Styela clava: one gene and its partners. The protein of the gene in region 4 purifies or fractionates together with the protein of the main gene of each other region. This does not show direct contact. Links are inferred from orthologs where the notes say so. Each region holds a gene or a part of one and is shown on either strand. Other genes may lie near its edges. The genes, in order: nucleolar and spindle-associated protein 1-B-like, regulator of chromosome condensation-like, nuclear pore complex protein Nup50-like and importin subunit beta-1-like.

What was found.
Region 1: the proteins of importin subunit beta-1-like (region 4) and nucleolar and spindle-associated protein 1-B-like purify together in Homo sapiens (affinity purification with mass spectrometry; 3 studies listed by BioGRID and IntAct, counting the BioPlex papers as one, with this or other methods). This does not show direct contact. The link is inferred for Styela clava from reciprocal best matches to the Homo sapiens genes KPNB1 and NUSAP1.
Region 2: the proteins of importin subunit beta-1-like (region 4) and regulator of chromosome condensation-like purify together in Homo sapiens (affinity purification with mass spectrometry; 3 studies listed by BioGRID and IntAct, counting the BioPlex papers as one, with this or other methods). This does not show direct contact. The link is inferred for Styela clava from reciprocal best matches to the Homo sapiens genes KPNB1 and RCC1.
Region 3: the proteins of importin subunit beta-1-like (region 4) and nuclear pore complex protein Nup50-like purify together in Homo sapiens (affinity purification with mass spectrometry; 4 studies listed by BioGRID and IntAct, counting the BioPlex papers as one, with this or other methods). This does not show direct contact. The link is inferred for Styela clava from reciprocal best matches to the Homo sapiens genes KPNB1 and NUP50.

What each region holds. Positions count from the first base shown.
Region 1 is NC_135251.1:26,346,264-26,353,562, reverse strand, and holds the start of nucleolar and spindle-associated protein 1-B-like, read right to left. Parts: upstream 3,006-7,299; 5' UTR 2,884-3,005; coding exon 2,800-2,883; intron 2,628-2,799; coding exon 2,520-2,627; intron 2,236-2,519; coding exon 2,155-2,235; intron 1,997-2,154; coding exon 1,904-1,996; intron 1,224-1,903; coding exon 1,053-1,223; intron 654-1,052; coding exon 527-653; intron 317-526; coding exon 184-316; intron 109-183; coding exon 1-108. UniProt on the Homo sapiens protein: Microtubule-associated protein with the capacity to bundle and stabilize microtubules. May associate with chromosomes and promote the organization of mitotic spindle microtubules around them.
Region 2 is NC_135257.1:1,501,833-1,509,518, forward strand, and holds the start of regulator of chromosome condensation-like, read left to right. Parts: upstream 1-4,674; 5' UTR 4,675-4,717; coding exon 4,718-4,793; intron 4,794-4,999; coding exon 5,000-5,092; intron 5,093-5,409; coding exon 5,410-5,606; intron 5,607-5,862; coding exon 5,863-6,051; intron 6,052-6,315; coding exon 6,316-6,453; intron 6,454-6,858; coding exon 6,859-6,943; intron 6,944-7,686. UniProt on the Homo sapiens protein: Guanine-nucleotide releasing factor that promotes the exchange of Ran-bound GDP by GTP, and thereby plays an important role in RAN-mediated functions in nuclear import and mitosis.
Region 3 is NC_135252.1:2,763,355-2,770,257, forward strand, and holds the start of nuclear pore complex protein Nup50-like, read right to left. Parts: upstream 3,014-6,903; 5' UTR 2,912-3,013; coding exon 2,741-2,911; intron 1,459-2,740; exon of another isoform or gene 999-1,458; intron 208-998; exon of another isoform or gene 1-207. UniProt on the Homo sapiens protein: Component of the nuclear pore complex that has a direct role in nuclear protein import. Actively displaces NLSs from importin-alpha, and facilitates disassembly of the importin-alpha:beta-cargo complex and importin recycling.
Region 4 is NC_135250.1:22,448,681-22,455,642, reverse strand, and holds the start of importin subunit beta-1-like, read right to left. Parts: upstream 3,002-6,962; 5' UTR 2,882-3,001; coding exon 2,839-2,881; intron 2,294-2,838; coding exon 2,154-2,293; intron 1,733-2,153; coding exon 1,631-1,732; intron 1,204-1,630; coding exon 1,003-1,203; intron 1-1,002.

The DNA of each region.
Region 1 (7,299 bases), on a different chromosome or scaffold from region 4:
AGTTTGCTCAGACTTGCATTGTTTTTCTTGTTGGAACCGAGTAATCTTTCTGCTCGCACTTTTTTTCTTCGCTCATAATCATCAATGGATTCCAGTTTATCGAATTTTCTAAAATAGAATTTTAAATTCAAGAATTGATATTAGATTGCGTACAATATATATAAATTCAGATATGACACCTACTTATTGTGTAGTTTATTCCAGTCTTTATTTCCAGGTGTAATAGGCTTGCTTGTTCCGATAGTAACACCTGATGCAGTAAATCTTGGAATTCTACTTGCAAAAGAATCACTGCCACCATATTTACTTTTTTCATCTGGTTAATTGAACAAAAAAACAGAACTTTGTGTCGGTGCGGCATGGAAGTTCTCAAAATAATGGGGATAATATGTTATAAAAAACAGCAAAGAGCCATATAAAATTTTAATGGCCTTTTTCCATAGTAGGCTACTATATGCATATAATATAACACCTTGTTATGCACATGTGGAATGAGTCGAGATGTGAGAGGAAGGCTCATGCATACCTGTTGCATCAATTTTTTTTCTTATTTCATTCATAATTTCATTCTGAAGATCAATGTCGATTGCTTCACTTTTTTCATCTACAGATTCTTGGTCAGTATTTGATCCACTCTTCCTCGGTTTTTTAGCCTTTTGGATTATATATAAAATGGTTTAAAACTAGAATGTACATCAGTCAATAAAAAGAACTATATTCGATAAAATACTCTAACGTCATATTTAGTATTCCACAGGTTTTGAAACAAACGGGGAAACATTGAAATTTCGAATACATTTTTATTGCAAAAATTAGTTCTAATTAAATTTTTTTTAATAAAAAGTGTGTTTATAATTATATCATATGACAAGTCAGCATATCTTATTCCCATCCTATTTTCAAAATAACACATTGATGGGTAATAAATTTAGTAGTAGGTAATGCAAAACCTGATACTTGCTGGTTAACAAATGTAAAACACTTCATAAACAATTGCATGATAGGTCGATGACTGTCAAGTGTCAATACCTTGTTCCAGAAAACGACCTAACCTGTATGGTTTCAACTGCATTTGAAGATCGACGCTTCAAAACTTTAGCTGTTTTCTTGCCAGAAGTGGGAGCAACTTTGTTTGATCGACCGGTTCTTGATTTTGTTTTAACCCTTTCAACGCTGTATGTCTTTGTTGCAAAATCTTTCGATTCATTAGCTATTTTGGGGGTCTAGGACAAAAAGAATACATAAAATATATCTTGGAAGCTCCAAAATCATATTCAGAGAGAGCAAAATATTAGCTGTTATTCTAATTTTATATTGGTTATTTATTACACAAAGTAAACTGAAATTTGAAAAATGAGGTTTGGAATAAAAATGTCCCCTTCCAGGCAATCAAGATCTTTCTTCTCCGATAAATTTCAATCTTAAAAACTTGTAAAAATATGGTAAATTATGCAAAAACAGTCTAAAATTTCAAAAGATAGCTCTAATTTCGACACACCCGTAGTGTGTGTACCAGTTAAGTTACAATAATTTTATTCAGTTTTTCGTTATTTTGGTTCTATTACAAGTTCGGAGACTGTCTGTGTTAGTAAAGTGAATATTGCCCGTGCCCATAGCCTAGCTTCCGTCTCTTTACACAACTTGATGTAAAGTAGGCGAACAAAATTAGTTACCCCCATGTTGGTACACACACTTCTGGAGCGCCCTAATTTCTATAAAAGACTATATGAATATCCCTTGTTTACTGATGAATAGTCATACAGCACAGTTCCTTGCCAAAACATTCGGAATGATCTGAATATTTGATTCGTTTTTGACATCCTTGGAAAAGTTTATTGGATAGTTGGCATTTAAGGGTACAACTGTGATTGAAAAAGAAAATAATACAAACAAGTAATCTCACCCTCTTCCCAGATGAACTTCTTGTTCTTGTTCCAGTTTCAGGAATTGCTTCCAAAGATTTGTCATTCTTGCTATCTTGTTCTGGGGTAGAGTCCTGTGAAGACACATAGACTGTATAGTTGCAGTTGCATTTGATTCGAAAATTAAATATAAAAACCTAGATAACCTAGAAAAATAGAACCAAATTATGATTAATAATTACACAATATCGTGTTTTTCTGATGAAAGAAAAATATAATAAACTGTTCTCACAAAAGACATTAAGTCGCTATTATTCCATGGTGGTTTGACTGAGAACAAATCTTCTGCTTCGTCTAATGGCGGAGTTGGAAACTAAAATAGAAAAATAATAAAATATAACACAACAATACTCATAGGTTATGGTAATACAGTAATGCACTTCATTAAGATATATTAGAGAGATGGAAATATCTTATAAATCTTTATATTTTGCAAATAATCCTGCAGAGAATGCAAGATAAATATCAGTCCCATCCTATTATTAATATAAACACAATTTGATAATGTCATTAAGACCATAAAGGCTAATGCTAAAAAGAAATACATTGAACATGACACGAAAACGAACTCAAATTAACTTTGTCATAATGTTATACCACATTAACTGGTGTTTTTGATTGTGCTACCAGTGAAGTATCAGGTGTTTTTGCATTTTCTTTTTCTGCATCGAATACTGACTGCAACGCTGCAATAATTCCATCAGTCTGCAAAATAAAAAAAAAGTAATTATTGGTATAAAAATATAATCTAAAATTGAAATCACCAATTATCATGAATAAATTTTGATTGTTTTTCATTTTAAGGGCTTATCACAGATACTATAAAATAAATTATCATTTGGATTATGATAACAAGCGATAAGAATAAACAAATTACCTTCAAATTTGCTTTTATTCCATGTTTTTTAGCCAGCTTCTGTAATTCAGCTCTTTTCATTGACTTTAAATCTGAGGACAACATGACTACTGGACTTTGAAGGATGATTGATAAATCGTCCAGAATCCAAAAACGACAGTGTTTAATAAACTCAAAAATATGCCTACAATAAGTAAGCTAAAAACAAGTGAATAAATTTCTTACAGAAACATTATATTGATTCTATTTCTTTTGTATAATAATCCAACTGTGGTTTAAATAAATGAAACACAATAGTGTTTATTCGCTCTCATACATGCAAATTTAAGTTTAGACTTTTTTTATACAGATCCATTTCCTGTAGTATACTCCTGAATAGCCAATGTTGGTAATTTTTTTGCCAAAGCAAAACTTATCATAACCTATTTTGCAAGTTTTTTGAATAAATTGGCGATCAATATCAGACCTCTGTGTTCTGTCGAGTCAAACAATTGTGACATAGGCAAACAAGGTCTTGTACACTAAACTATTCTCTGTTATAATGGGGCCGCAATACACTGACATTTGGTTAAATAACACTCTATTTGTCTCTGAAACGACGGAGTCTGGCGTGACAGCATATGCGTTAGATCGCGCCATGCTTGTCTCAATAATAATTTAAGTCAATCATAGCGTGCATGGCCCATCACACGATAAAATTGGGGTTATTTGCTTAAAACTCTCAAATGCAACAGTAAAATAATTTATCCTTCTGTTCTTCAGTGAATCGGATTATTTTTTCTAAGGAATTCAATGGCAGTACAGCACACTTTCTAAATTCCAAGAATGTCCTGTCATTTGCTTCAATGATAAAATAGACACTCCATGTGTCTCACAAATGATGGGTGTCTGTACAACAGCAGATACGTCATATCGCATCATGTTTGTCTCAATAATGATATAAATTAATTGCAGCAGTCATGTGACCAAAATTGCCGCTTTTTGCTTTAAATTCACGAATGCCACGGTAGAATATTTTTCCGTTTGTGACTTGGATTATTTTTTCCTGAGGAATTCAATGATGATGTTTTTAGATTGCACTTCTTTGTAGTTTTTTGTGCAACTTAAAGAAGAAGTGTTTGTTCATCGCCAAAATGGGATTCTCTGAAATGAGACAATGAGGAGCTGTATGAGGAGCCGTACTAAATGGTGATGTTTTTAGATTGCGCTTCCTTTTAGTTTATTTCTAGTGTCGGTTTGCCGATATGAAGGTCCGTACTGTCTCGTATAGGGGGGTTTGGGGTCTAGTGTAGTTTCGTACCTAAAGTACTTCTAGTGAGCGTATCATAACAATTTTTGCATATGTTAATCCTAACCCCCACCTGATTACGCCATCCAAAAATTATGTCACTACGATGTCACAGTGACATAATAAAATAATATGCTAATGCTACGCCCACTAGAAGTACGTTAGGTATGAAACTACACGAGACCCGGGGTTTCTATTCATTACTAAAATTGATGTCTTTAAATGTGGTGACTATTCTCATGCACTTTGGTTTTTATGTATTTGGAGTTTTGTGTTTAAATGACTCCGCACATTTTTACTTTTGAATGGGCATTACTGCATTAACATACCGTAGTTGTTAATGTTCTTATAATTCATTTTATCCAATATAGTCAAAATTTCCCATTTAAAAGCAAACCCTAACTAGGCTACCTACCTACTGGTACCGGACATGGATTGCAGGATTGGTAATCCTGAAATCGGAGATGAGAGGCCGTCAGGCCGTGTTTCACCATATCATATGATTGAGCCGTGTTATTGCTTTTACTCTATTTTAATATGCAAATCCACCCCTACTGCCCTATACTACAGTATTATTAATATAGTTCTGTAGTTAATATTATTAACCAATCTAACTTACCGGGATCACTACAGCACTAGTCTACGGCTGTACCGTACGCCCGTACGGTCTGACGGTATCAGATGCAAAATGCTGACATTGATAGGATTCAAGTTACATTCCTATTTATCTTTACATTCCATGATAAATCTGTGTTCCAATTGCTCAAGTTATGTAGTAAAATTCGTGTTGCATTTGCAATGCGCGGCGGTGTGGCTCAACGGGCTAAGCGTTAGGAATACGATCGCCACCGCACCTCTAACTACTCTGCGTGGGTTCGCAGGTTCGAATCCCAGACAGAGATGGTTATGTGCGAGAGGATTGCTGGACTCCTCGCCGTCGTTGGGTGGTTCACGTAACCGCTGGTCGGTTACGGCTTCCTCCACCACCAAGTCCATGCTTCCGAAAACAAACAATACAGTAAATCTAATCCCATACCCGACTTGGAATGGTAACCGGACGAGAGGCCGTGGTTCGCCATATGGATAAGCCGTCTTATCGGCTTTCCTCTCCCCCGGGATAAATATGTAAATCCTATCCTATCCTAATGCTGCAATGGCAGAATTAACGGAACCAGCAAAACCTCCCGACCCCCAAAGCCAAATATCAACAAAGCCACAAGCATTCAAAGCACAGCGCGCGGATGAATGATTGGTTAGTGCAATGGTTACGCTCTAATGATCATGAGAATTGTGATATTTTCCGTGCGGTGTTGCTAAAATTAATTCAGATTATATATAAACTGGCTTAAACATTTGAAATCTATGATATCAAAAACGACTGAAGATATTCGAAAAACTCTGCAAAATTTGTATACGGTACCGGTACCGGGTAGTTATAAAATGGCTATGTCCCATATGTCCGCTATGTCCCTACTAAAATGGCTATGTCCCTACTAAAATGGCTATGTCCCATCTAGAATTGCGACTCCGATATTTTCCTACTAAAATGACTATGTCCGCTATGTCCCTACTAAAATGGCTATGTCCCTACTAAAATGGCTATGTCCCATCTAAAATTGCGACTCCGATATTTTCCTACTAAAATGACTATGTCCGCTATGTCCCTACTAAAATGACTATGTCCCTACTAAAATGGCTATGTCCGCTATATCCCTACTAAAATGGCTATGTCCCATCTAAAATTGCGACTCCGATATTTTCCTACTAAAATGACTATGTCCGCTATGTTCCTACTAAAACGGCTATGTCCCTACTAAAATGGCTATGTCCCATCTAAAATTGCGACTCCGATATTTTCCCACTAAAACGGCTATGTCCCTACTAAAATGGCTATGTCCCATCTAAAATTGCGACTCCGATATTTTCCTACTAAAATGACTATGTCCGCTATGTCCTTACTAAAATGGCTATGTCCGCTATATCCCTACTAAAATGGCTATGTCCCATCTAAAATTGCGACTCCGATATTTTCCTACTAAAATGACTATGTCCCTACTAAAATGACTATGTCCGCTATGTCCCTACTAAAATGGCTATGTCCCATCTAAAATTGCGACTCCGATATTTTCCTACTAAAATGACTATGTCCGCTATTTCCCTACTAAAATGGCTATGTCCCATCTAAAATTGCGACTCCGATATTTTCCTACTAAAATGACTATGTCCGCTATGTCCCTACTAAAATGGCTATGTCCCTACTAAAATGGCTATGTCCCATCTAAAATTGCGACTCCGATATTTTCCTACTAAAATGACTATGTCCCTACTAAAATGGCTATGTCCGCTATGTCCCTACTAAAATGGCTATGTCCCATCTAAAATTGCGACTCCGATATTTTCCTACTAAAATGGCTATGTCCCATCTAAAATTGCGACTCCGATATTTTCCTACTAAAATGACTATGTCCCTACTAAAATGACTATGTCCGCTATGTCCCTACTAAAATGGCTATGTCCCATCTAAAATTGCGACTCCGATATTTTTCTAATAAAATGACTATGTCCCTACTAAAATGGCTATGTCTCTACTAAAATGGCTATGTCCCTACTAAAATGGCTATGTCCCATCTGAAACTGCGACTCCGATATTTTCCTACTAAAATGACTATGTCCCTACTAAAATGGCTATGTCCGCTATATCCCTACTAAAATGGCTATGTCCCATCTAAAATTGCGACTCCGATATTTTCTGACTATGTCCGCTATGTTCCTACTAAAATGACTATGTCCGCTATGTTCCTACTAAAACGGCTATGTCCCACTAAAATGGCTATGTCCCATCTAAAATTGCGACTCCAATATTTTCCTACTAAAATGACTATGTCCGTACTAAAATGGCTATGTCCCATCTAAAATTGCGACTCCGATATTTTCCTACTAAAATGGCTATGTCCCTACTAAAATGGCTATTTCCGCTATGTCCCTACTAAAATGGCTATGTCATCTACTACATTTTTAATATAGCCATGCATATCTGAGAAAAAAAGCTAGTATATGTCTTGATGCAATTAAAATAAGTTTATTGCTTAGGCATATTAACGAATTGTGTCAAGGGCCGACTCTATCAAGGTCTACATATTTAATAGTCATTAATGAAAAATTATATTTTTCGAGTCTTTCTCTTCCTTTTTTCTCCCTTTTTCAATCCAGCTGTTTGTGATGGAGATATTGTT
Region 2 (7,686 bases), on a different chromosome or scaffold from region 4:
ACAGTTGGTTGTGTGTTCACACAGAATAAGAAACCTGTGTCATAAATAAATCACTCGTATGTAAAACAAATATGCCTCAACGAAAAAATAGACGGACCTCGATCTTTGGTGAACGAAAAAAAAACATGGCGGCGATCCAAAATTTTCGTCTGGACCGATTCCAAAAATTCACTATTCGATTTAAAATGCCAAGCTCTGTTTGCAATCTTAAAAATTAAACGCATAGCAAGATTCATCATCAACATGATTTTCATTTTCTAGATCATACTTTGCTTTCACGCATGAACTTCAAGAAGGAGACAGGGTCGAAGACTAGTACGCCATTTTGTAGGATTCTCCTCTGTGTGCTTCTCCCCTGTAGAATCAGAATTACTTTTATTTCGTACAAAATCCAATCCATATCCTACTGCAAATACTTGTCTCATTCGACATACAAGAATTGCAATAAAATAACCGCAGGAGATTTTACAACGATTTACACCAATTTCATGAGCGATTGAAAATATTTTTTTCAAGCGACAAATGCATTCTATTTTCCAATGCTTTGTATAAATCAGAAGTCCGACTTTTTGTATTGAATACAACTTGGTCTGTTCTGCAAGTTAAGACTTTAAACTGTCATCAAAAAAGCTTTAAAATAGCGGATTGGGTAAGAGCAACTCCTAAAGTTGCGTGTAATATATAACCAGGGGAGTGACTAGGTGGTGACCAGAACGTTATGGGGCGAGGTTGTTGCTTAGTTTGATGATTAAAATAATGATAATACAAACATTCAACTCTTACTTGACCTTTGATTGATTCATTCTCATGTATACCACTGTATCTATAATTTGTTTATCCCTCTTATTATTTTTGAAGTTAGGTATAAGGGGAGAAACTCGCCCCGCGTAGCAGAAAAGTTTGACACGCCCCTGCATGTGAAGCAAGCCATTTTCTGTGGCGCATTCGTATTACAGCATGTATTTTTATCTAATGCCTTCAATACCTGTCCCAGTGAATGCAAGATACGAGACCCATTTCTTGATTTTCAATAAATTACGCAAATATTCTACAAAATTGAAAAATAGATAAAATATAATATTTTAAACTCTAAGCAGTGTGTGTGCTAAATGCATGTCTTGTTTCTTCAATTTAGTTGTTTAAATAAACATTTGTGGGCGATTCTCCATGAATTGTACGACCTCTTAGCAAAATAAAGAAAGTGAAATAGTTCCCGAAAATTGATATCGCCATCCCATAATTTCATGATGCTGTTTGTCAACAATTACCAAAGCAATGTAAAGCATTCAAGCATTGTTCCAGAACTATACTGTTTGTCTGTTAGACACTTTCGTATGTTACGCGATATCTCGCGAAAGCGAGGTTGAATCTGCTCTAAATTTTGCATGTGCATTCATCATATCTCGGACTAGAAGCCTATTTTGGATGAATTATGTTGCATAATTAGCGAATTATCAATTAATTAGTGATGTGACACACGGTGTCACTATGGAGTAAGAGCGAATGATGCAAAACCGCAGTTTCTGTTTTGGAGATCCCCTAACATTCGATCGATGGGCTTCGGTCTCCGACCGATATTCTCGTTTATATATTTGTTTCATTTTGTGACTCCTTCTGAGATAATCAGTATTGTTTTCCCCGTCTCTCATCACCATTTTGTTTTATTGTACATTGTGTAAGTCTATGTAGGCCTACTGAGCGTATCTTATATGCGGTTTAAAAATTTTAAAATTTGTAGCAAGGCTACGTCGGGGGACAAAAAGACATCTATACCTGAATTTAGGTAACGCAATCAAAAATTGACAAATAACCAACAAAACCACGAAAGCAATCCAACGTTTACTCCCAAGCTCCAGCGCCGAAGGCCTGTTTGGGTGGGAAAAGCTTTTCTGTGTGGCCGGTAATTTGAATTGGCACGCCACAATTGACATTTTGCTGATTAGTTAATGATAAAGAAGTAGACGAGTGAGTCGATGCTCAGAAAAAAACATCGATTCCTTAACCCGTAATGAATCCCTTATATTAAAAATATTGTTTTTTGGACATGTGGGTGACCTATGGAGGCGCAGTTCTTACCACTTCATGGCAGCTCTTGCCACGAGCGTACCCCGCTGTCTCCTGCCATGGTGTTGTGGCGCTATTACCGGTGTATTTACTAAGTCATGTACAATATTTTAGTTTATCATGCCAAATTATATCTACTTAAATCTAAACCTAACCCCAAATTCACCCAAACTGTATCCATAAGAAAAACGTTCCAACTTACCCAATATTTATCACCATCAGGGGCAGCCTTGCTATTACAGACACCTCAATGATTACAGCCGACATGCTGTGGTTACGGCAGCAAAATTGGCGGCATTCGATTTGCTGCCGTTACGACCATTGAGGTGATACACCCAAAGTGTAGTCACTTTGGATACACCTCAATGGTTACGACGGCAGCTCGCTGTTGGTTTGTGGCATTACACCTCAGTGGTTTGTGGCAGATAAAAAGTCAGTCGCCGTGGGTTTGGTCATAGCGGTTATGGTTGGGATATCTCGCCCATTGAGGTGTATATACCCACAATGATCTCGCCATGGTTTTGCGGCACTTCTAGACGCCACGAAATACTTGAAACTGCACTTGACCTATGGATCGTTTTCATGTTTTTGGTAATCTTGTTCTTGTTGGACTTCATCTTTGTATCGTTTTTTAAAAAATCGCTTCTCTCCTTTATTACTAAACCAATTGCTTTAAAATTTTTAAAGAGTAAAGATTATATTTTTAGCTAGAAGGCTTACTTTTATTTATCGTTTTTTTTGTGTGCTATAACGCCATCAAAATTTGCCCTTATGTGGCGTCACGTGTCCATATATTTGAGCATAGCTCTCTTGTTTTATTTTGTGCTAGATTCAGCCTCCAGAAATATTCATTTATATACCTTATTTATACAACTCAATGACCTATCCGTAGTAGTATATATTTACGCCTTATCATATCATAAGTCAAATGTGACAAAATATTTTTTTTCTCTGACGTCCGGACGTAAAGTCTTATTTTTTCTGCTGAAAATCTGTCAAAATGACATCGGTGTACCGGTATGAGATGTGCATTTTAATTGCGGGAATGTACCACTGCTGCACTGCGTGATTCGCGGGACGACGCTTGAGCGCCTGTGGTAATTATAGCACTTCTGAAGATAAGAGGCTCGAGAACAAACAATAATCAACAATAGAACCGGTGCGTAATACCCAGACTGGATTCCATGGCAGGTGCACGCCCGAGGGCGCTAGCGCTCCGCAAAAATGCTCGCGAGCGAAATCAATTTTGCACGCCGAAAATTTGCAATTGCTCACCAATGTAAATCGGTTTAAATGGTTTTAAAATCAATAATCCAGTAATATAAAGATGCCAAAATATTATACCTCCACAATTGTCGACAAATACCAGCTTGCAAGATTTGGTCTGATCGAAATATTGCGAAGCAAAAAGACCATGGAGTATGGACCTTTCCCCAACCTTTGACCCGCGAAAAATTCCTCTCATTGTTACATCCTTTTTTGCATCTTGCTGATTGGCCAATGTCACGAAGTAAACAAGGAAGTCGATGCTCGGGGAAAGGTCCATATCGTGTTGAATGATAGGAAATAGGAATCCCGTGAGAATAGTTATGGACGAAAAGATCGCCTCCGCACCAATGGCCAAGTACGGCTCTGATTCAGCGTATTTTTCATACAATAATTTTACACGAATGTACTGAACAGTACCGGTATCTAAAGTTGCTCAAACACTCCCAAAATTAGTGACAAAGTATGAAAATAATGTTTGGGGTCAAAGATCAAACGTCCATTTTGCTCTAATTTGACGTATTTTTTATCCATTAATTCTACGTAAAAACACTACCAAAATTAATGACAAAGTATGTCCATTTTGCTCTGGTTCAACGTATTTTTTATCCAATAATTTTACGCGGATGTACTGAACAGTACCGGTATCCAAAGTCGCACAAACACTCTCAAAATTAGCGACAAACTGTAGAAATAATGTTTGGGGTCAAAGGTCAAACGTCCATTTTTTCTCTGATTCAACGTATTTTTTATCCGATACCGGTAATTTTACGCGGATGTATTGAGAGGTATCTGATGTCAAAGTCAGTTGCACGCGAGTGCAGTTGTTTTGCACGTCGTGAGCTATAATTGCACGCCAGGAATTCTTATTTGCACGCGGGAATTTCTGATTGCACGCCCGATTTCTCGTTCAAAAAGGCCATGAAATCCAGACTGGCGTAATACTGATAAACCGTTCCAGCATTCCCGTCTCCAGATTGCATTTTACTAAGTAAATCCAATAGTATTCGCAATACCAGAATGCAGTAATACGACTTGCAGAATATTTTAAACTGTCGTAGTTAAGCTACGGTAGGTGTTAATCACTGACTTATGAAGGCAGTTTTTAATGGTCAGTTGACTGTTTATGGTAGCGACTGTGGTACCTATACGTCTGTACGTAGCCTACAACCTACGGTACTACATACCGTAATAACTCTAATTCTGGTGAGAATGAATCGGTACTTGTAGCTAAGTTAGACTATAGCCCAACTGTTTTTTAAAGTTCTAAAAGACAAAGTACCGTACTGCGCTGCCCAGGACAGTATTAAGCTTATCTTATAACGGGATATTATCAAACTTTAGATTGTTACCGGTAGACTATAACTGTAATTGTTTTGAAAAGAAAATGGTTCGCAAATTATCAACTAAAGATGTGGGTAAAACTGAAGAACCAAAGAAATCTCGAGGGAGACCAAGGAAAAGTGAGGCTATTTGTATTTTTTAACCAAGTCCTGAAGTTGAATTTTTTCTATGGCAAAAACCTATTTTCAGATTTTATTCTATAACCAGATAACAATTTTCAGATTTTTGAGAGAAAGTACTCAAAAATCACACCATAGTTTATTATGACTGTATGGTGGTACAGTAGGAACAATATTTTATTAAAATTTTTTGCAATTTTTACCAGTTTCTGCAGTTGAGAAAGGCTCAAACTCTGGGAAGCGTAAACTCAGTAAATCCGTTTCTGAGGAACCAAGAATAAAACAGAAGAAGATAGAAGGTAATAATATTTATTCCTATATATATATCACAGATAACATAGACCACATGCTGATATGAGATACTGGCTGTATTTGAATCGACACCTCTGTAGCCTATATAAAACTTTGATAAAATATATTGGTTACAAAAAAGTTTTAGGCATGAGTGAATGACTGGTCCTTTGAATTTTGCATCCATTAGATCACCAATTTTTATATGTGTAATAAATATAAGTTGGTAGAAATGCTCATATTTTTCATTCCACTTTTTTTTCAAAAGTACATTGTAGCAACAAAACGATATTTTGTAGTCTGACACTCTACTTTTGACTTTCAGTTCCCAATTTATTTGAATTGGCTTCTGTGGGAGTAGCTCTAACATTGGGACAAGGAGATACAGGCCAACTGGGACTAGGAGAAGATATAATGGAACGAAAAAAGCCTGCTTTGGTGAGAGGAGAACTTGATGGAAAAAAGATCAAGAAAATTATTGGCGGAGGAATGCACACTGTTTGTTTGACTGACGATCATAAGGTATAGCTAAAAATCATATATATATACCGTAACTCTGAAAGTCTGAATATGACTTGAAACTGAAGAAGGTTGTTGGACACTCCAGTTAAAAGTTATTTGCACCATGGTTGATCAGTTATTTCGAACTACCTTGCAATCTACCTTGCCTGAGTTAAATGAAAAATTCTATCCTCTGCTATTTTAATATTGTCGGTTTCTCACTCACATGTTATTTATATAATTTTGGACATTAACACCCATGGATTTATAATCGTAGGTTTACTCATTCGGTTGCAATGATGAGGGGGCATTAGGAAGATTAACATCTGACGATTCAGAAGGATTTGAACCTAAAATTGTCGGTGGAAGTTTAGAAGGAGTAAAAGTAATTGATATATCTGCTGGTGATAGTCACTGTGCTGCTTTATCAGAAGATGGAAATGTATTTTTATGGGGCTGTTTTCGAGTAAGTATAAAAAATTATTTTAATTTATTATTTTTAAACAAAGACAACTGCAGAACAAGCAGGTATTAGGTAGCCTATGTTATAGGATTCTGAAAACATATAGGACTCTGAAAACATAGACGCTAATTTTTGTTCGGTGCAAATTTAATTGGGCCCCAATTGTTCATAAAAATTAATGATCATGTCGAATCTTTTCAATCGAGTTTATAAATTTCTTGTGATTACAAGATTTAGGATGTTTCATTTTTGTTCAATTGTTTTCAGGATAATCACGGCAGACTGGGTTTAGCTAAGGAATGGGAAAAGTGTGGCGAGCCAATCAAATTAGACCAAATTCAAAATTGTGTTGTAGCAATTGCCTCTGGATGTGACCATGTTGCAATGATCACTGACGAGGGAAAGGTTTGTCATTTCAAATTTTCTCTAATATTCATTCAGTTGAACCTTTGTATCTTCAGAACTAAATCTGTTGAAAGCAAATTGAATTTTTTCAATTTATCTGGAAATCGTGGGTTCGTTTGTTTCACGAGTTGAGTATTTGCCAATGTACATCAATTAACTTTAACATTCTCTCGTTCAAACCCTAAGTGTAATGAATTAAGTAGGGCAATATTAAGTAAGGCAATGCCTAAGCAGCCTAATTTGATCTTGCACTGTGAAGTTATGTTACGTTATGTAGGCATTCAATTTTCATAGACAGCAAAAATATTATTTCTTTGCTTGTGTGCTTATTCATTAGAAAAAATGCATGCTACTTTTTTTGAGACATATTACCGGTTTTCAAACTAATATTACAATACTTCACAGGTATTTACATTAGGTTGTGGTGAGCAAGGACAACTTGGAAGATTGAGTAAATACGCATTAAGTAGAGGTGGAAGGAAAAGTGCAGGTAAGAATGAAGTGATACAATATGATAAATTAGTCATTGATTGCTAACAATCTTAGACCCAAGCACCCATATATAATCATCATCACCAAAATGCTCACTGTCATTATTGAGATAGCAAATATGACGGAATCTCTTCATGAATTAGTGTAATAGCAACTTTCATCTAGTCCACCGCAATCTCTATGAAGCCTTATTGTGACCCACCAGGGGAGGGGTCAGGACACCCAGTTTAAGAAACCAAATCTAGTCTTAAGTCTGTCAGACTCAAACAGAGGTTCCTCGTCCAAGTTACAAGTAGAGCTAGGAAAGCAGATTATTTACTTACCAAGTTCAATGTTCCAAATTGATGGTCATGGCAGACTTCTAGATAAATTTAATAATACAGAGAAGTGAGAGAACAGAATAATAATAATATTCTACAGATGAAGTCTCATCTTCTAGTACTACAGCAAATCCAGAAGTACCCATGCCAAGAAGCAGTTTGCGTGAAAGATTAAGTTTTGCAGGTATAATGCGGTTTTACAGTTGAGATGGTTTTATCTTTACAAAAGATTTGTCATAAAATGTGATTTGGATATCGACTTAGAAAATTACTATATGAGTTGAATGGTAGTTCATTAGAACAGTCTGAATCTGAATATTTTGCTTGAATGCAGAGCTAATGGTTATAAATCCCTTGGACAGCAAGATTCAGGTTTAAAGGATAGTTTCTGATTGATTTCTGTAGATTTAATACAAAGATA
Region 3 (6,903 bases), on a different chromosome or scaffold from region 4:
TGCTAGATTGCAGAAATGAGTATATTGATAACTATATATTGCCAATAACTTATCATGAATGCAAAGGTTCATGCTATCATAACATTTCTTTAATGTAACATTGTTTTCTGATTTTTCATTTATTTCTACAGCTGTTTCAAATCAAGTAAACTGTCTGAGTGCCATGATGATGATCAATTTCATCAGCTCTATTGGTAGAGCAAATTTGTGAGTTTGTCACTATTTAAATGTCATATTATTTGTATGTAAACTGTCCTAAATTCACGTTCGTATCAGCTTCTTTAGTATCAGCTGTTAAATGAAAATTATTTTTAGTTTGTGTGTATAATCTGTATTATTCGTATAATGTGAGGATGGTGACCGTACATTTGAACCCATGTACATTTGAACCCATGCGTCTATCCACGGGTTCAATCTATATGCGGGTGCTAAAACCCATGGGTTAGGGTTAGTATGGGTTTAACTATCCGTGAAACAAAAAAAATTCCATAGGTGCAATAGCATACAGGTGCAATTGTCATGGGTTCAAATGTACGTGGGTTCAAATGTAATGGAACCTGTGAGGATACTTTCATCAAGGTAAATTTCTTATTGGTATTGTCCCAGATATGTTCAAGTAACCGAGATGTGACAAACTTTTCAAAATCATTCCCATTAGTCATTTCTTGTTACATGCAGGCAAAACTAGTGTCACATGATTTTAGAGTAGAGCAAAGTTGTTCGACATGCAATCACAATCGAAGACAAAAGAGCCTTCATTTAATATCTGAAAACTAAAAATACTCTACTGTTTTACTTTTCCAAATTCATATAATTAAATATACATTGGATTTTATGTAATTCAAAAATATCATTTCAGAATACAAAAAAATCTGTACAAATTCGAATACAAATTATTCGGTTTTAGTCATTGCCTAGGTCGAATTTGGTTCTTTAATATCTAGCGCACTTCATCAATATACTATCTTTAACCCTGTATTTTCATTTATACTGTTCAGGTCATGAAGACAAACAACTGTTATGGATAGGATTATAGTAAAAGTGTTGTCAAGTCAAGATTGCAGCAGTGCTTTATTTTACGACTTCGTGTCCAACAAATATGTGGAACCCGCCTTTGTGTCCAACAAATATGTGGAACCCGGTTAACTTAAGCTTAACAAACAAATTATTCTTGCATGCTAAAACATTTGAAGCAAAAGTAATTATGTCGATTTTTCGTCACTTGGCGAGTCTTTCGCAGAAGAAATAAATAAAACTTTTAAATAGCAACGAAAGCAACAACTATGATTGCACCTGTGTCTGTGTGCATCTGTCTCAAAGCTGTAGAGCCAGGATAAAATTTAGCACCTCTTCCGAATTGATTCTATACTTTTTCCATTTCTTGAATGTCAGTACATTTTAGCAGTCATTTGAACAAATGAATATTAGTTATTTTTGCAATACAAATTTTCAAAATAATATTATGTTAAATATGTAGAAGCCTGTGGCCCAGAACTTGCCAGGGATAGGTTTTCAGCTGAAGTGTGTTCATTTCGTCTGTTTTCACTCTAAGTAGGATGTGGGTTCTATAATTGAAGTCTGTTTGTTGTTACGCTGAGGTTTAGGAGAAAATGTTAGATTCAATTGGTGTTGTAGACCAGGGTCGTCCAACTCGTGGCCATCGGGCCATATGTAGAAGCATTTCTAGGTGTTTGCAAAAATAGCCTGTCAAGACAGACCATAACTCGTCTTGTTGAAGAGCTTGGGAATTCTATCGCGAGAATTTTAATCGCAAAAGCGGGATATTTTTTATTGTATTCCTTGGCGCTTGAGGAAGCGCTGACATTAAGTTTACTGCTCAGTTGGTGACTTGCTATCTTTTTGCGGGTAGTTAATGATGATATAAAATTACCGTGGAGACCGCAGCCATTGCCCCTGTTAAGGGTTTGACTAGAAGCATTGATTTGTTCGACAGCTGTGATAAAAATGATTAAGCGTCTTGTCTTTGGCTAAACTTTCGGGAATAACCACTGATGATGACCCGTCAATGTTTGGAAAACAACAGTTTTATTGTTCTAATAATTGTGAAAAATCGATGTGAGGGTATTTTTTTATTATTAACCTGTAGTAGTGTAGCAAAACTAGATCATAACTAACATGTCAATTGGCCCGCGCAATTATTAATGAATTACATGTGGCCCTTAGACCAAAATGGTTAGCCGACCCTGTTGTAGTTGTAGACTGTACCAGTAGTGGGAAGAATTCTATTTATGATAAAGTGTTATTATTTCGATATTTCGTGTGATGCGCGTCAGCTCTTCGTAGTTCTACCGCCCAGATTGTTTTGCTTCGGCAATATCAACGAAATACATCAAAAACCGACTTTGCAAAGACAGCAAATTACAACAAAATTGGGTTCGCGTTGTCATCGCCATGGGAATACGGGGTCAAAGAGCAACATGCCACGACGTTTTAATGAAATGCCTCGTGGCGTCGGACTTAAACCACGATTAGTTAAGTAACCGCTAAACTAGGTTTTTGATCACCGGTTAACTATCGAAGTTAAACCGAGTTTAACTAACCCGAGATTAGTCTTAATCCAAGTTTAAGTTAAGTGAGGTTTTTGATCTCCACCCTTAAACTAGGCTATAATAGAGTAAAATGATAAAATTAGTCTACTGAATTATTATGTTATCCTGGTTTAGCATAACTATACAACACAACACCATTTAGTAATTATTCTGTTATTTGCAACACTCACCGATTGTTGACTGCTACCAACAATCCTACGCTTTGCTTTTCGAATAACACGGGTTTGCAAAACATCATTATCCGCTGTCTTGAATGTTCCAGAGTTATCGTCATCATCAACCTCATCTTCCTTGTCCCAATTTTGGTCTGTTAAGTATTTATCAGCGACACGCTTCGACATCGTGGCGCTAGACCTAGTTCACTCATTCACGAATCGCAGAATTGAGCAAGTAACGTGCAAGTGACCAAAATAACCCTGCTGAGGAACGAAATACTGTATCTTCAATAAGGCACATATATGAGGCACATCTGGCTTCTAGTGGAGGCATATGCCACGAGAATATCGAGGCATCTAAAAAAGTTCGAAATCACTATCGGGACAATAAAAGAATAAATTCATTTTATATTTTGTAAGTCTTAGTTTCATATAACGTTAGGCCTATTTGTAAATATTAGAGTAGGATAAAGTAAATATATAGTTTAAATTAAAAGTAACACTACCTGTGAATGCGTGGTTGAGGAATGATTCTTCAAAATTCTTGCCACAAAATAACTTCGGGACGCGTTTATTGTAATAATAAATTTAAATATAAATAGAAAAAAATCGGCATTGATTGAAGAAAATTTGTATTGTGATAAATGAAAAATTTAATTTTTCAACAAAACTATATCTTTGTAATGTTAGCAATAAACTAAAGCCTTCAATTCGTATTTTTACCGACTGTGGTTCTGTGCATTCACATGGCATTCGTTCTGCTTCCAAAGGAGCGTTTTTCAATCCTCGAATAAACTCAAATTTAGCTCAATATTTAATCAGAATCATTGGGCTCAAAATTTGAAATGATATTCCTGACATTTTCAAAACCTTCTCTTATAAAAAATTTAAATCTGAGTTCATGAAACAAATCATATCCAAATATTAATTATGAAGGCAAATCTATTTTCAAATGGATACTGGTGTGGATATGTCATGTATAAGAGTGTATTTATACCTGGTTCTCCCCAGTTTGAAAATATTTGTGCCATGTACATGTCCAACCGTATACTCTTTAATCTACCAATATTTTCATTTTTATCAAAATTTTAAAACCTACATCTCTAAATTGTGTAGAATATCGTATTATAATATACAGTATTGTAAAAATATATTCACAGTTTTCTTCCTTGCCAAACCATGATTAGACATTTCATAATATTGCACGCTTAATTTTTACGCATGGTACCGCTTACATTTACATGGTGGATGTTTTATCTATGACTTCCCTGGTGTGTAACGTTATCTATGACTTAACTGGGATGTGCGTATGATTGCAACCTAACAATTGTACTGCCCAAGTAAACACTAGTTTACTAAATTTTGCTTCAAATTTCAAAACAGATCCGGCCCGTGGAGTAATAATAATCCAGCCCTCGACGCTTCACTGAATTTAAGTAACAAAACGGCTGTTATGACGGTTATATTTTTTACGTAACAGAATTTATTGTGAGACACGTGTAGGCTAAACTAAATTATATTATACCCTAACAAGTATATATTCCACAAAACCTCGTTTAATGAGCTTATAGACGAATGGCAACAAAACGCAAAGTTGATGCTAAGTGCAAAGGGTTCAATGGCGCTGAAAATATTCGAATGAAATTTTTTCGGATGCAATGCAATGATGAAATCAATCTATATTCAATTCGAGAAATGTATTCCTTCTTGATTTCATTTTTTATCGTGAAAAGTATCATTCGTTCGTTTTTTCAACTTTCTGAAAATAGCGAGCGCGCGACAAAAGGTTGCCGACCCCTGCCAGGGTGGTCGCTAGAAAAGCAGGAAATTTGAAGGTCAGATGAGATTACGAATAAAATGCGTGCTAACTCATTACGTATCGATTTTAATAGGTAAGTATGTTGATAGGTATTTGTTTGTCTGTATGTCTGTCTGTTAGATGCACGCGATATCTCACAAAAGCGAGATTGAATCTGCACCAGATTTTGCATGTGCATTCATCATATGTCGTACCAGAAGCCTATTGATTTTGGATGAATTATGTCGTATAATTTGCGAGTTATTAATTAATTAGTGATGGGACGCAAGGCGTCACTATGAAGTAAGAGCGCTGTTTTGGGGGTACCCTAACTTTCGATCGATAAGTCTTCGGTCTCTGACCGATATTCTCGTTTCTTTTTCGATACGTTTTTATTTATTTCAGGTTGATGAATGTTACCCCGAGCATCATTTCTTGTTTATTTCCGTAACAATTACAAATCAGCAATAAGTTTGTTATGTTTGAATAGAAATGATAGATTTGAACATGTGAGCGAGTTTGTGAGCGCCAACTCTCCAAACCACTCGCAAAATCAGAGCTGAATATTTGGCAATAACAACGTGAATATAGGGAGAATCTTCCAGGGGTGAAGGAAACATCCATACTGGTCAGGTTTTATTCGATTTCTATTTTGAAACCCATATTGTGGAGGAAGGCAGGAAAGAGCTTTCAGACTTTGAAAGGAAAGTGGTTATTCTTTTCAATAGTGAAAATCCGACTTTCATACATATTTCGAATGGTCATCGAAAACTTTTAATTCTCGTATTTTATTCTTATTTATTATGTGCTTTCTGGTTTGACGAAAAAATATTGACGAAATTATCTATAAATTAAAAATAAATTCTCTCTCCTCCTTTTCGCAACTATCACACGCAGAAAACACATTATGGAGGGTATTTGTCATCATAAAAACAAGTGTACAGGACAGTGTCACGGCAAATAACATAATACAATATTCCGTCTTTCTGCGATGTTAACACGATATTTGCTACTTTATTGTTGTATGTATGTCAATATTATTGTATGTTATTAGTTTATCCGAAACTTCAATGAACAATTGTTAGCTGCTATAAAGCCCGTCTTATTCAACACTATAAGCATAAGGGATAAGATTAATATTCAATGCCATTCCGGCTTCAATAAAATGATGAAATTGACTCAGGTAAATAATAAGGGCGAACTCTCGAAAAGTATATCAGGTGACGGCACATTTGCACCCATGTAAATTTATTTACTCACGTAAATCGCACCTGTATACTTTTGTACCCACCAAAATTTGCACTCATAGATATTTCCACCTTGAAAATTGGCACATACGCACATCTGATCCCATACTGCATACGGTTCTGTTGCCCGGGGAAAGTTTCTGATAACGATGCCACCTATTCGTATATTATCTGATATGCCTATATCTTCTGCTTTGGCTATTTCATGAGATAGTTGTGGTTTGGAATCGCAAAAATCTTGTCACCTGATCATCACAACGCTAACTTTAACTGGCCAAGCCTCCATGTATAGATTACACGGGTATAGATTACATGTATACAGGAGCAGAAGTAGTAAATGGAAGAATGTTCTAAAAATTGTAACCCGAATACGGTTAAGCACATTAAGTATATTACATGCGTGTCATGTATCGTATATAATATATCGTATCGAAATCGAACATTAAAGCTGGGCCTTTCGTTCTTACTCAGAAGTGAAGCAGACTCATCTCTTTCAGGCGACCACTGAAATGCTAACAGATACTGAAACTTTGATACCGTAGAATTATGGTGATAAAACAAAGTTTTACAGAAACATTTTAGACGGTCCATGAGCTTTACGTGAAACACAAAATAGCAAATCGGAATTAGTCTAGAACTTGCTAAGACAACAGATCGAAGGTAGCCGCATACCAGACTACATGGGAAGGCATGATGTTTTATATAAAAGCAAATATTATATTTCTTTTCCAATCGAGATCAATGGAACTTTACGCACACATGGCAAGTAAAATGCAGTCACCGAATGCTGCCTGAATCACACCAAATGTTTAAGATCTTGGAACATAAGGACTTAAAAAATATATATGTTACAATTCATTGGTATTGAACCAGTCCACAAGTTGTATATTTCATTAATTTTGTATTTTACTTTCAACGTATTTTTCGCTATGGTGGACCAGTCGTACTAAAATTTCCAATGTTAATCCTTCTTATTTTGACAACGAACTTTTAGATTTTAACGCAATCTGGATTAAACACATGTTGGTGTAATTGATGCCTCAATTAGGAGAATTTAAGTTTGTGTCAGGTGAAGAAATTTGGAGATAGTATTGGTAAGTAAGCGATGCGGAAGGGCAAATAGATTTGAAAAA
Region 4 (6,962 bases):
GAGCTAAAGAGCTATATGAGGCATGGAGTCGAGTTTGATTTGTTTTTATCAGATTTTGATTTAGTCAGAATTTGAGACATTTCTTGGTGGCGATGGAAATCAAAATTTTTACATAGAAACTCAAAAAAATTGATTTGGCGAAGCGTTCCAAACATTCGTTGTGCGAAGCGTTCCAAACATTCGTTGTGCGAAGCTTGCATACAACACAGTTTATTTTTTGAAATTTGCATTCCCTAAAAGTTTGGAGCTGTAGTTGAAAAAATGACCCACAATAAACTGTAATTTTAATTACGATATACAGATTGAAGAAAAAAAGATTTTTTCTTTTTGAGGAAATTTGCTCAAAGCACGGTTGTCACATGCATTCACTTAGGAACTGAAAGGATTGATTGCTGAGCAAAGTTACAATTGACCACTAGAAAGCGAAGAGCTGCTAAAAATATAAAAATTACATGAAGATGAACAATTAGATTACAATTAGATGAAATTACACGTTAGTATATACAAATTGGTATAAAAATACTCAATTCCACATAAATGTCTTTTCTTTTGTCTGGTATGTGCACTGATTGTAAAGTTATTAACAGCCAACCATGTTTATCGACTGAAAACATTTGAGGGAAAAATTCTGAAAGTTCAGATCATAATAATAATTGTAACACTAATTCAGCATCCTGTTATTAACCACAGCACGACTAATCATAGTATTTTGATTGTAACCTTATATATATTTCAATAAGCATATGTAATATAGACAAGATAGTGTCAGCAACGAGATATCCATGATTCAGATCTATGATGTTGTTTCAAGCAACAGAATAGTACATTTGTCAGTAGTAATAAATAGTCACCAGGAAACAGGACCACCAATATGACATGCAATAGCTTTCTCTGTGAGTCACAAGTTCTTAAACCATACAGTTGCTTACTACTAATTTGCCAACTGGGCATCATGCATTGCATGTCAGTATACAGTGCCATGAAAATATTCATTCACATTACCATATCTGCACAAATGTATCCGATAGCCTCCAGTGCTCCCTCCTTCAAATGTTCAGTGCTTGTTTCTGCAGTCACACTTTGCACAAGTTGAGGAATAAGCTCTTTCCATCCATCTAAAGGTATTTCAGCACATGCGATTGATGCAATTACTTGTGCCGCTGATGAAGGTCTGTTAGTTTCTGTGCCCAATGCTTGAAGAACCTGAGATATTACAATAAATATTAGTATTGTGTCAACTTATCATGAGTGGAAAAGACCTTATTGTGTCAACTTATCATGAGTGGAAAAGACCTTATTGTGTCAACTTATCATGAGTGGAAAAGACCTTATTGTGTCAACTTATCATGAGTGGAAAAGACCTTATTGTGTCAACTTATCATGAGTGGAAAAGACCTTATTGTGTCAACTTATCATGAGTGGAAAAGACCTGGGCCCCTTTTATTAAGAGACCCAACAACCATGTTATTCTATTTTTTTAAAAACATTCTGAAATAGCAATAAATTGATTGAACTCTATTTCATACTGCATACAGAGATCTCACACTATGCTTTCAGCACCTGAAACATTTCACATAAAAACCATCACCTCATTGGAAAATGCTTATGGTAATGTAAAGGTCATACTTACCAGTTTTTTAACTTCTGATCGAGCTGCTTCATTTAGAGACAGCCAACGTTTCTGATTATCGAGCCTGGCAGTTTGGTCTTTTGAAGTTGTATAATTTTTTATCTTGAAAACATAAATGAAGGGTGATACAATTTATGTAAATTAACAAATATCTAATCAAACTTTTTTCAGATTCAAGTTGAGAGCATTCAACTCATCTAAAACATACACTCGATGAAAGTGGATGTCAAATTGTGTAACATGTAACATTATGATGCCATGGATATTTTTGAATTAGCAGAGTAGCAATAGTGTTTAGTGTGACTGTTATATAGCATCAATCAGAAGTAAATTGTAATTCACATTCATGGCTTTGCAGATTTTGGTACATTGACGAAATGAATGTGTGCTTATGAACAGAAAAATGTGCATTCATCAATAACATCTGCGGATTGTACAATTTTGAAAACTTATTATGTGATAAGTGTGCCGCAGTTTTTTGATTTTTTAGTGCGCAGCAATCTAAAAAATATTTGACAATCACCTGCAGACCAGCAGCCATTCTCGAAACTTGGCTGTTTCCAGGGTTTGCCAAAACTTGACATAAGCTGACCAGAAATTCCGCAAGACTGCTTTGTGCGGCTTGTTCCAGAAATCCTTGTGCCTGCTTAATATCATTTGGGTCTGAAAAAGAATATGAATACAATACTTTATGAAAACCTTTATATTCTAAATTTCCCCAGGTTTTTTTTCTAAATTCTGTCACAGGTGTATATATATATAAACTATTACTATTACCAGTAAATATTAAATTTCAGAAATTTGCAAAAAAGGATAGGAATACGATTTTCATATTTGCTGCAATGAAGGATAGGTGGTAATATCGACTAATCATGTGGCGCATCCTGTACAAGTCAGATATGGAAAAAGATAACCTGTTATTTGTTTCAGATGCATGAGCTCGATAGTGGGAAAGCCGTAACTGACCAGTGGTCAAGTGAATTACACTACAGCACTACGGAAGTGAGGAGTCCAGCAATTCTCCCGGCTCCCACGTAAAACTATGAGATTCAAACATTCGAATTCACACAAGTTAATCACAGATGCGATGGAAAGCTTGTTCCTAACACAGTGAATGTTGCGCCAATCATCGAGCCATGATTTCATGAAAACGATTATTCAAAATACAAGCTTAATTAGAGAAATAATATTTATAGCAATAAAGTTACCCGGTGACACAGTCTTATCCAAGATTTCCACAAGAGTCGCCATTTTACTGAGTTTGTAAGCTTATTCTTAAAATTGAAGTTCCAGAGTTGCAAATAAACTAAAAAAAACTATGCCAGCCCTTGAAATTTACAAAATCCTATTATCCTGAAACAAAATTCTTTAGTTTTTAGCTCACAGCAGCAGAAACTCCATAAGCGAAGATTTCAATTTTTTTTGTAGGTGAAAATGCATCTACCTTTTAGTAATACCTAGGTGAGCTATTCTCAAATATATAGAAACTACTGCATAACGGGTACAAAGGCTGCTCATCAACACACAGTAGGGCACAGTTCTCAGATTTCAAGATGCTCCCACATTTGGAACAATAAAAAAAAACACTCTATTTAACTCTGATACGAGGGCATCTGGCACGACGACACGTCAGATCGTTCCATGATTGTCTCGATAATATTTTAAATCAATCTGACCAAAATTGTTCCTTTGCCAAAAACTCTTGAATGCTATGGACTATGGTAACATATTCTTCCTTTGGTAATCATAATTTTGTTTTTCGACAAATCCAATAGCAGAATAGTGACGTTTTTAGATTGCATTTCCTCTTAGTTTATTGCACAGTTGATTTGTGGCAATATAGACACCACGTAAATATATAGATGTCTCATAAAAATGGGATTCGCATTCACTGTTATAATTGATGTGTATTAATGTGAGGCTATGCTCCTGTGCTTAGAATCGGAGAGCTGTGCCATACGGCAGTAAGGTAAGCGCAGATTTGGCCTTAAAAGATTGACAAACAAGCAATATCAAAATACCGGAATATAGAGGCATTTGCGCTACAAAAGAATACATGTTCAACTTTAATTTTTGATAAAAACTTGGTTCTATATCCAGATATGCCTTCAAAAACGCTTCCCAGTGACTTCTTCCATCTTGATGAAAATTCATGAAATTTTAAATCAATTGCCTCATACAGGCAGACAGGCTTAACTTTCAAATAAAACAAAATACAGTAGGGCACACTATACAAATCGGGTGACATTGTCCCGTTTCAGAGAAACCCATTTTACCGATGATCAGACACCCCTACTTTGGGAGACGTCTGGACATTGTTGTCCCTCAATATCAGTAATAATACAGTATAATGAAGTTGCGCAAAAAAATGACAAAAACACAAACTTCAGAACTTAGTTAAACCAGGCTTGGAGCAGAAATAAACAAACAAAATACATGATTGTAATAAACTTTGGGATGTTATACTTTCAAAACACTCAAGGCTTAAGCTAATAATGACCAAGTCAATCCGATACCGGTAATGCCTCATTTCTGTATTTTAAATGTCTGGAAAGGATGAAAATATACAATTTAATTCATTACAAATTCTTGTCTAAACAATTTTGATATCAATCAATCAATTTTATTTTGGTCCCTCTGACATAGGCTAGAACAGTAGAACAAACAACAGCAAACGGAGGGCACATCCAGATCCAGAGATAGCAAAAACATCTGCATTCACCAGTTGGTCTTGCTGCCTTGTGACTCGCAAACGCTAAAACCTGTTCACAAGGCATTGTACGGTATTCTATCACATTACATAAAATAGGCGTACCTCACTCTACTAGGGCCACTCTAAATACAAGATGAATAGCACAATTTCCATGTAAAACTCAACCAGAAAGCATGACCCGGCCACAATACAAGCTTTGGTGGAGGTACTGGTACAGGAAGCCACACATCGCGCCTTATTCGAACATTTCACCACCATAGCATGACGTCATGGAATCAAAATGATTTTCCCCGAGCAGGGTAGCGTACCTAACTCAGATGCGTGATTAGGTCGTATGTGTTTGGTAAATTAGCAATGTGTATGGACGTGTATAGGAGAAAAATGTATTGCAATAAACGGGGCTTTCAAACTGAGAGCCCCGATCCCCCAGTGGGTCGCGGAAGGGCTCGATGTGGGTTGCGGTACCGGTAACAATTAATGTCGGAACCAGCCATAGTTACTTTTCTTCCTTTTTTCTCTATTTATCCTTGTAAAAAATTTACAATAACTTATGTTAAATCAAGATATCGATCAAATTTGAAAGTTTTAGAACCAGTACTGCGATCCACCATCGCGAAAATAGAGCCAATAACGAAATTTAAACCGCCCAAAAGTCTGTCATTCCATCACTAATAAAACTCTTAACCAGTAATTGTCAGTTTGGCGCCAAAGATGGGGAATCATCCATCTTGAAGGATTATTCGACCAGTACCACTTCTCCCTTGGTGCAGAAACAAATGCTACCGTAAATATATACTACAAGATGCTACTGTGGAAAAATTGAACCAAGCGCTCCTAAATATTGAGCATATTAATCGCACTGACCCTCAGTGGTTCTTAAACGATGGTGCGCGTCCCACAAGTAGGGTATAGACAATTTTTTGAGGGACGTGAAGCTAATTAAATATAAAAACATTTGTTAGATTTGATTTTGCCTGCCTTATTCTGAATATTCGCATTTCTTTATTCTGGATATTTACGTTCCATTCATGTAATTTTAACGTGTTTTTGAATAAAACATACTTTCGTCTTACTATCTGTTATTTTCAGCTTATTTTTAGCTAGTTACTTTTGAGGTGGGCGCGAGACTTGACAAATTCTCAAAAAAGAGCGCGTCTTAAAACGTTTGAGAACCACTGCACTAAGTAGCCTTAATTGCCGTAATTTTATGCCAACTAGCCCTGAAAATACGTTCCAAATTGCTTTTGCAAGCCGTTCGCAAATTTCACCAAGCATGCGATCATCTCACCATCAGTTGTTAAAAACAACGGTACGTTATGACGAAATTTCAGGCGATACTGTGGTTTTCCTCCACCAATCAACTAATTTGAATAAATTGATGCAATGAATAAGTTTAATTCACTAAAATTACAAATATTTCAATTGCGTAGTAGGAATGATCTTGGTATAGCAACAGCAAACGTGTTCAGAAAAACTCTCTGGTACAGAAATCTGCTCTCAGCAATTTTCTTCTGTACCGTCATAAATTCTGAACATATTTATTGTTATTATACATACCATTTCTTGTAATTAACACTTTACTCTATAATGAAAAAATAAATAAGAAGTTGTAGAATTATTTAGGAAGAATAATTTAGAATATGACATAGAACAGATTAAGGTTTTTGACCGTTCAGACTGTCGTCAAAAAAGGATTGTTCTCAATTTCGGTAAAAACTAATGAAAATCATAATTTTTGGTTCTCTCGTATCATTTCCACTAAAAAGTTTTAATTAATATGATATTCTCCTAATTTCGAGATAATGCAGATTTACTGTTTAGCCAGTATTTTTTATTTATTTTTTTATATATATAGAATAATTTTTATTAATAAATTATGTACAAAAATAAACACATAGACCATATATATGAAGTGATATAAATTACGCCAACCGATAAACACAAAATAAAATAAGTATTTAAATATTTTGTTTCTTCTATTAACCTATAACATAACGTAGATCAGTTGGTCTAACATTAGTTTCGATCGAACTCTATGAATTTTAATGCCAAGGAATCGACGGGCAAAAAATTTTAGTTTTACATTTCGCACATAACTGTAACTTGCTGCATTTTAACGTATAGGTGTCATCAGTTTTAAGCGTGAAAATTTGGAAAGTTTATATCATGATTCTGGGAGAAAGATGCTTTGGTAGTATATATAGAAGGAAATTACTATTAGGCTACCCCTATTTTCTTTGATTCATTTCTTTAAAAAACTAAGACGGGTCAAAGTTCAACATCGTAACAGAGTCGGTTTGTCGTCAGAAAGGGTTCGGGATCATTATCATATCGACGCACAATCAATCTATAATAAGTGTTTTGAACGATATCACACCACGTTAATGTCTACTCAGATTGTTGCAATATGTTATTCAGAGCTTTTTGCATTTCATCCACTTTAAATCCCAGAGGTCCTTTCGCACTGATATATTCTAAGCAACCGTTGTAGATAATTGCCATACGATCCGGAATCGTACCATATTGCTTCGTTGCCTCATTTTCTATTCCATCCAACACCAAAGGGCACGAAAAGTAGTCTTTAAGATTTTCTGCGGCAGACTGACGATTCTGGAGACT